Arabidopsis thaliana: one gene and its partner. The protein of the gene in region 2 interacts with the protein of the main gene of each other region in a biochemical or structural test. Each region holds a gene or a part of one and is shown on either strand. Other genes may lie near its edges.

Evidence for each region. Proteins that work in one complex are often made in the same cells at the same time.
Region 1: the proteins of RAN3 (region 2) and MBD5 form a complex in vitro, tested with the Arabidopsis thaliana proteins (one study listed by BioGRID).

The regions. Positions count from the first base shown.
Region 1 is NC_003074.8:17,146,228-17,150,296, reverse strand, and holds MBD5 (methyl-CPG-binding domain protein 5), read right to left. Parts: upstream 2,066-4,069; 5' UTR 1,901-2,065; coding exon 1,730-1,900; intron 1,428-1,729; coding exon 1,302-1,427; intron 1,221-1,301; coding exon 969-1,220; 3' UTR 700-968; downstream 1-699. Other genes in the region: AT3G46570 (Glycosyl hydrolase superfamily protein), read left to right, coding at 3,430-4,069. UniProt on the Arabidopsis thaliana protein: Transcriptional regulator that binds CpG islands in promoters where the DNA is methylated at position 5 of cytosine within CpG dinucleotides. In addition, binds specifically methylated m(5)CpNpN but not m(5)CpNpG (N is A, T or C).
Region 2 is NC_003076.8:22,389,903-22,394,801, reverse strand, and holds RAN3 (RAN GTPase 3), read right to left. Parts: upstream 2,740-4,899; 5' UTR 2,518-2,739; coding exon 2,515-2,517; intron 2,379-2,514; coding exon 2,309-2,378; intron 2,019-2,308; coding exon 1,962-2,018; intron 1,861-1,961; coding exon 1,743-1,860; intron 1,526-1,742; coding exon 1,436-1,525; intron 1,350-1,435; coding exon 1,170-1,349; intron 1,081-1,169; coding exon 1,003-1,080; intron 915-1,002; coding exon 845-914; 3' UTR 617-844; downstream 1-616. Other genes in the region: MGE1 (Co-chaperone GrpE family protein), read right to left, coding at 1-97; AT5G55180 (O-Glycosyl hydrolases family 17 protein), read right to left, coding at 4,241-4,286, 4,533-4,899. UniProt on the Arabidopsis thaliana protein: GTP-binding protein involved in nucleocytoplasmic transport. Required for the import of protein into the nucleus and also for RNA export. Involved in chromatin condensation and control of cell cycle.

The DNA of each region.
Region 1 (4,069 bases), on a different chromosome or scaffold from region 2:
ATGTTGTTTGAAAAAAATATTTTAATAATAAAAATAATTATTTATTACATGAGTGAATGATTAGATAATTAAAATTATATTTAAATTAAACGATAAAAAAATCTGAAAATATACCGCAGCGTAGTGCAGATGATTATCGACAAATCAACCGAAAATATCTTTTTTGAAAACTCGTTATTTTCGACGGGGGTGTATATGTTACTTTTGGTAATTATTCATCTCCACGCCGTTAGAATTCCTCGAATTTTGAGGTGGAGAATTTTTCCCATTTTGTTTTCTGATAGGAAACAAACGATAACTGAAAAGTGCGATAAGAACCCCTTTTTTATCCACTGCATAAGACAGAAAAGAATTATAGTCTTTGACGACAATGTTCTTAGCCATTTTAGAAAGAAAAAAAATTCTTAAACAAAGATCTAAAGAAAATATTTACTGTTCATAAACAACGAGCGTAAAATGTCAAAATTTAAAAATGCGTCTGCCGGGAGTCGAACCCGGGTCTATTGCTTGGAAGGCAATTATCCTAACCGTTGGACTACAGACGCTTTGGTTCATATTTTCACACTGTTCTGTTATAACTTGAACTTATTCCAAATTATGTCAGTATGCTTCCGTATATCATTTAGGACAAAGGCAGAGAAGCATAGATAGATAGAGCCTATGCATAACTGATGATTCACAATTTAAAGCAGAGAGAACTGAGCAGAGAAGTACCGCACATCGAACTTTAGATTTCATAACTTTGTTACTATCGGATTCTCTCAAAGGCAATAATATAGACATACATTGCCTTCAAATTATCTAAGAAAATGTTAAGAAAGTACATTACAACTCAAATCAAAGTGTTACTAAAACTATCACTACTAAAAAATTAACCTGCATTCCAACCAACGATCAGTAAATACTAAGTAGATATGATAATCTAGCAGCGCGTGTTATTACAATTTGTGAGTTTCTGCAGCAATCTTCTAGAACATCGTTTTTCCAGCGTTTTGGGAGGTGACAAGAGTGAATACTCTGTCCCAATCTTGGCTGACAGATTCTTGAATCTTGTAGTCCCCAATGAAAGGCAACCAAGCTTCTTCTGAACCGTTTATCCCAGTCCAAGTAACCTTCTCCGGCACATTCAGAAAATCGAAGTTCAACGGCTTTGGCGGTGGCTCAGTAACCTTTTTGTTGGATTTTGTCTGCCGCCTAGCGCTTCCTCTACCTTCAGAATGCTACAAAAATGTGCAAAAACAACAACAGTTCAGGTAAAACACGGGTTTAAACCTTAAGGTAATGTCTACTAACAAACTCACTTCGGAATGTGAGTCTCCGTTTTCCGCTGTCTTGACGGACTTCTTTTTAGGCGTCCCGTGTTCCAAATAGTACAAAACCTCGTTCTTGGACCGGAACTTACGACCCGTAATCGGTTCGTAGTAGAACTACATTACAAATACAAGACATCATCAAGCACTGCATTATCATATTCACACCTACAACATCCTAAACAGAGCAATCTTCATCCAACAAGCATACATACAGCAACGTTACACTTAAAGACTAGTTATAAAGTCTCCAAATACCTTAAAATATAAACCAATAAGATCATCATAACCTAACTTCAATACCCAATTTCATAAATACTAAGAAAAAGTTCCAATTCAAATCAACAAACAACATAACATTTCCATTTGTACGGACGATTCTATCTGCGAAGGAATTGAAAGGGCTGAGATTTTTTCACCTTATCAACAGTACCAGCTTTAGTGCCAGAGGTTCGAACCCTAATTTCGGTTCTCCAATCAGGAGGAAGCCAATTATCATCCCCTGGCGTCGCACGTTTCCGTGACTTCGAATCCACCGGAGTAGCCGGGTTCTCCGGTGGTGGTTGAGCCTGATCCGTGCCGTTCGACATTTCCGGAAACAAACCCTGTGGAGGTCTCCAGAGAAAGGTATGATTGAGTGAGTGTATATAAAATTGAGAGATTTTAATATTCCTTTCTTTTTGACTGAATCAGACAGAGTAAAAGACAGAAGTACAATTTGTAAGTTAGAAGTTTTGTTTCTGTTTTAAAGTTTGAGCTCGAGGAATGGCTTAATTAGCCACGTTGCAGTTTTTGGGCTTTTGGGCCCATTAAGGTAAATTAATTTCTTGTTGTGAATTAGAGTGGATAAAATATTTGTAACCGAAATCAAAATCGAAATGTGTGTAACTGATATAAATTATTTGAACAACTATGGGCCGATCGGTAAGGATGACGGTAAATGTTTTGGCTTTAAAAACTTTTACCATAGAAAATTTGGATGTAGAGACTTAACTGTTGAGATTTTAGATGTTAAATTCTGATTGGTAATATAAAGTTGTAAAAGCTTGAGTACTATTTTTACTATTATTAAATATATTTTTGTAAATAAAATTATGTTAAAATTGAATTATGTTTCAACATAGTGACACAAATATATTTTATTAATAATATAAAATTAAAATACAAAAAATATTCTTAAATAAATATTCTCAACAAATAAACTGCACATGTAATAAATAAATTATTTATTAGTAAATTGGATCTTAAAAGAAAATATAAAATTAATAATAATTAATTAATCAAAAATGATTTGTGAAAAAATATATATAAAATTGTAGAAAGTTTTTAATTATCATGGGAGAAGAAAAAGAAAAGTTTTAATATTTATTTGTTTGAAAGCCATGTAATCGTGACTTTAAAAAAAAAAAGGAAACAAAGAACAAATAAAAACAAGGCTTTGAGAACTTTAAAAAAAAATAAAGTCAAGAAAGCATGACTGTTAAAATAAAAACTGTGAGGACTTTAAAACACCTTTAAAGCTATGAGAGCATCCACATCGGTGATCAGTATATTGGATGTCTTAACTGCCAAATGAAGAGAGAGAAATTTATTGATAAAATGAACAGAGAGAAAATTGTTGGTCAAATGAAGAGAAAAAATAAAAAACAATAACACCAACCAATAGCATGGTGACACATTCGTGTTTTCCCGTATCAAAAAATGTTTTTCCACAGACATTAAAGTCATCATGTCACTCCTATTCAGCGCATTAATTCTCATCTTCCTATTTTTTTTATTCTGTTAAAATTTGAAGACACCTTTTAAATTTGTCCGATGAGGATGGTCTGAGAGTCCCTTCCCAATCACCCCCAAATACAATTAATTTGCAACTATTTACATCCTTATTAATGGTTTCAATTATCAAATGTTATTAATTTATGATTATTACATTATGTAGCAAAACTTCCACGTTTAGCAAAACTTCCACGTTTAGCAAAACTTACTAGGAGTGAGTGATTTTTTGGGAGCCACTCGCTCACGTCTCCACAATCAAACCGAACACGATCATGCTCCCAAAAAACAACTCCTAGTAAGTTTTGCTAAACGTGGAAGTCATAAAATAAACTCATTCACGATCATGTTGGGATCTAGAGTTGTTCATCAACTTTACTTCCTAATTCTCACTCTCATCCTTCCCTTCTCCGCTGCATATCAAGTCGGCGTAAACTACGGCACCGTGGCCAACAACCTCCCACCGCCTCACCAAGTCGTCAACTTCATCAAAACAAAAACAATAATCAACCACGTCAAAATCTTCGACACAAACCACGACATCCTCGCCGCATTTTCCGGCATTACAGGAATCTCCCTCACCGTCACCGTCCCAAACTCCGATATCATTTCTCTTTCCAAGCTTTCCAACGCACGTTCATGGCTCTCCGACAACCTCCTCCCCTTCCTCCTAACAACTTCAATCCGTTACATTGCTGTCGGAAACGAAGTCGTCGCCACATCCGACAAAACCCTCATCACTCATCTCCTTCCCGCTATGGAGACGCTTACGTTAGCATTACACCTTGCTAACGTCAGTAGGATCTTAGTCTCGACGCCTCACTCGCTCGGTATCCTCTCAGGCTCCTCCGAGCCACCTAGCTCCGGAAAGTTCCGTAAAGGGTACGACAAAGCCATCTTCTCTCCAATCCTAGACTTCCACAACCGCACCAAGTCTCCTTTTATGGTTAACCCGTATCCATATTTCGGTTTCGGACCTGAAACGT
Region 2 (4,899 bases):
TCGGAATCTGATTCCTCTTCGGAGTAACGACGGAGGAGAAAGACGAGCGTAAGCCTGCGCTGCGAGAAACTCTTGATAAAACCCTAGACACCAACATCACGGATGATTCGCGCAATGAATCGAAGAAGAAAAGCAAAAATCGAAACTTTTTTTTATATATTTATTTATGACTCTGAATCCGGCCGACGGAAGTAGAAAGAGGCAAAAAGGTTCTTGGGGAGGAAGCAAAATATTATTTGGGGTTATTTAAAGTTACGAAAATACCCTTAGCGATGCGTTAATGACTCCAAGAACTCAAAATCTTAGAAGCAAATTTTTAATGTACTCTAGTATGATATCCATAATCTGTTTTGATAGAGATCAGTATCTACATTTAGATACTTCTATTGGAGATGTCCTAAAACGCAATTAAAAAAATATATAAACAAAGAAAACCCTTCACATATCCTTGGTGACTCCATAAGTGGTAGAAATAATACAACATTCTTGATCTTTAGAACATCGATTGGCTACAGAAAAAAAAAAAAAAATGTTGTTGAGTATCTAAGAACTTGTGGTTTCGAAATGATTGATGTAAAAAAAAACTATTAAGTGTGTTGGGTGTGGAGAATTGATGAGATTGCGCGGCTAGGATTAATAGAGATACAATTGAAATTGTGAAGCATGTAAGGTTTGTAATCAAAAGGTTTTCACTTTCATAGCGACAGTTAAAAACTTAAAAATGAAAATTACTAATGTCATCGATTCATTTCAAAGTACGGACACATAAAAATAGCACCATGAACAAAAAAAAGTTCAGACAAGCCCTAACGGGTAATCAGTGACAGATCACATCTCTCTTTCTCTACTCGAAGGTGTCATCATCGTCATCAGGAAGTGGCTGACTTGCTGCTGCTGCAAGCTCCGCCTCATGCCTACAAATATATAATCGTTAATTGAAGAAAAGCCTCGAACTCAAACCTTAGCAACAAATTAAAACAAAATTAGTTTTAGAGAACTTACTGCTGCTGAGCAGCCAAGTCGATTTGAACTTCCGGGGGAGCAAGGGCAGGTGATTCCACAAAGTGAAGATTAGCGTCCCTGAGACAAACAAGCAACATCTCAATTTTCATTTTTCCGTTGTTTCACAATAACTACAATGAGGGTTGAATTGATGAATTGTTTCTTACCCGGCGAGCTTTCTAGCAAGGTACAAGAATGGCTTCTCGAAGTTGTAGTTGCTCTTGGCAGATATCTCGTAATACTGGAGGTTCTTCTTCCTGTGGAATGTTACCTGCTTGGCCTTGACTTGCCTGTTCTTCACATCAACTTTATTCCCACAAAGAACAATTGGGATGTTTTCACAAACCCTGCACCATGAAATTTGATGACATTTTCTGTTTAGCAATTTGCCACATACAACAAATGCTAGTTTCTGTGAGTGAGTTCATCATACCTGCAAAGATCACGGTGCCATGTTGGAACATTCTTGTATGTCAGTCGTGCTGTGACATCAAACATGATGATAGCACATTGTCCATGGATGCTGCAACAAAACAGAACACATTATTGTATCAAACACAAACTATTTGCAACAGTTATCAATAGTTTTTCATGTTGCTAGCTACAATCATCTTATTGAGCTTCAAACCATAACCAAGCTTCCAACACTAGAAGATTCTAGATTATAGCATGACAGTAGATGATTCTAGATTATTAACAAGGTCGGTTTTAAGTGATTTGTATGAGAAGAAAGTACTTACTAGTAACCATCCCTAAGACCACCAAATTTCTCTTGGCCAGCAGTATCCCAACAGTAGAAACGGATCTTGCCACAGTTAGTGAAGAAATCAAGAGGATGAACCTCAACACCAATAGTGGCTGCAAAAACACAAGAACACATGAGAATCTTTTGTGAGAATAAAAAAGGTTAATGACAAGTGATATATTTCAGGATGGGGCTTGCTTGCGAGAGTACTTACGTTCATACTTCTTCTCAAACTCTCCAGTAAGATGTCTCTTTACAAATGTGGTCTTCCCTGTGAACCAAACCAACATTTAATCAGAGGTTACTTGATAACATAGCCAAATGCATCCAACTACTGAAACAATTTGGAACAATCTCAGAATTGAACTACGACGGATCAAGATCACTTATACATACAGATACTAAGCTCTAGACAGACAAACTAAGTCAAAGCAGCATACTAATCAAAACTGAACTATATCAAAGCAATTTGATCCAAAATCGAGTTTCTGAAATAGAACTAAATCAATTCTCTGTATATATTTCTAAAACAAAAGAAAGATGAAGCTAGGGATTGGGTACCTGTGCCTCCATCGCCAACGATAACGAGCTTGAAGCTAGGGTAATCCACGGTTTGCTGGTTAGGTAGAGCCTGACAATTATGTCAAAATAACGATGAGACAAAATCAACAGATCACGCGAGATCGAATATAATGTTAAACCCTAAGAATTTCAAAGTAGGATCGAGAGATAAGTAGATCAACGCAAAGAAGGAGAGATAATTTTACCATCGGCGAAAGTGAAGCTATGCGAAGAGGGTGAGAGGAAGGCGGCGAGAGAGAGAGAGAGAGATAGGTTTTTTTAAACAGAGAGTATAGTGAGCTTAGGAATGACGCAGATACTCAAACCCGGTAATCTAGAATTGGATCCAGGCTCAGATCCGGATCCGGATCCGGATCCGGCCCAAAATGCTCTCCTGAATCCTGATCCATCATAGGCCTCGTCATTGTTATTACTACTACATTTTGAGCAAAATCATCAATAAGATAGAGTTTTATAGGGGAGAGGAGTTGGATTTGAGTTTTTTTTTTTGGTTCAATTGTTTATGAAGAAAATATAAAAGGTGTTAGATTTTATTTCTAAAGAATTTGTCTGTTTTTAATTATTTTTTTGGTAAAATTTAAAGTTTTATACGAAATTTTAGATTTTTTACATAACACGGAGATACAACGAAGAGAAATAAAAGACTGAAAACTACGCAACAATATAATAGAAGGCCACAAAAGAGAATGTAATTAATGAAAGGAACACGCTTTGATGGAAGAAGACACAAGGAAGCCATTGGTGTTGCCAAGAGTTAGCCGCGATGGCGCGATCCAAAGCTAGCCCTCAATATTTCAGAAAGAGCATTGTTTACAGCTTTTCCAATCAAGACTTACAAAAGCATACTCCACGAATGCGACCACCTTTCCATCAAATCACTCCCGCTGGCTAGAAGAAACTCGTGATATGGAAAGAAGGCATGACCAATTGAAAGCCCACTTAATTGGTTTGGAGGAGAAGTTCAAGTTGGTAGTAGTTGAAGAAAAAGCCATAGACTCATAGTCCATCTAAGAATATGTAAGTCTTGGGATGGTAATCAAGTACTGTATATGGTTTTGTTTTTAAAATTTTGAAACCGTGTTTGTACTATGTTTTGGTTAAATTGCCACCGTGTTTTGCGAGTACACTATCTCAATAATGCAAAGGGAAGGAAGTTCGATTAGCAACCACACGATGCTTACAATCCAAAACCTTAAGCTTTTTAAAATGACATAAAAAAGCAGAACATTCTTGCTATTTAAAACGTCTAAACTGACTCATCTAAGATCTTAGATATTTCTGGAGGAGAATACACATTCAGTAATAGAATAATAACAGACTTCACAACTATAAAAGCATTAAAGCTATTCTTGGTTCTGAAGATTCCATATCAAAAGACTTGATGAGTTTTCATGTAGTATAATGTATTCACAGAGCTTTGTGACAAACTATAACTCAAAACCCATTTTTCGAGTTACAGGCTTCTATATGGGAGTTGGTAGTGTAGTCGTAGCTCAATTGATGGTAGGCGCTAATCAAGTTTGATGAAGTAGGCAGCTCAAGGTTTTGACTCTGGAGTATTGGAATGAAACAATATGGACAATATATACTGTTGAGTTTTGCTTGGATCATGATCAGTTGATCACCAGCAAAACGAATCAATTTGAGATTTTGAAAATAATATTGCAATGTTGTTTATTGGATCAGTTGCAGGATATAATGGTTTATATCAACAAAGTTTTGTCAGTTTTATAAACTCACGAGCAAAGAAGTTAAGGCTTAAGGGGGAAAGAAAATCTGACTATTTATCCGATGAAACCAACCAAATATACAATAATAAAAATAAATATACGCAAATCATATACTCGAATGACAAAAGAACAATGTATCAAAATAAATAACGTAAATAAATCCGCACGATCCTCTTCTTCTCTATATCCATTTCAATGCCCTGTTGGAAACTCGCATTTCCCATACTCTACAAACACATAACCAACAAAAAATAATTAATTTAGTTTACGTTTCCGTCTATACGTCACAATTTAATTATAAATCTGTATACGTAAGTGAAGCCCAAAAAAATAACATTTGTTGTTAAACCATCCCAACTCCCATAATTATTATCTAACCATCTTCCAACTATTAAGAACGTGAAAATAACTATACTGTATATGCAAAATACTTACTAATCAAAATAAAATTTTGGAGAGGAAAGATAGGGTACTTACTAGGAGGTTGCGAGACCACGTACGCTGCACCACCAAAATTACACGTGCCAACTCCACGTGCGTTCTTCTGATAGTAACTGTTGAACGCGTAGGAAGCGTGAGCTTCTAACGATTCAGGATTATAACACGTGGCACCCGGTTGAATCGGACGGCAATCAGCACCTCCTTCGCCACAAGCGTAGTCGAGACCTTCCTGAAGCTTCTCCTTCGTCGTTTTACCATTCGCCACACACCACGTCTGTCCCACGAGCGACGGTTTCACCGGAACAACCTTCTCTTTGTTATCGTTGACCGGCGTTGACTTACCGTTGAGCGAAACGTCATACACTTTGTTCTCGTTTGGGTAAAACAACCCGTAGTTTC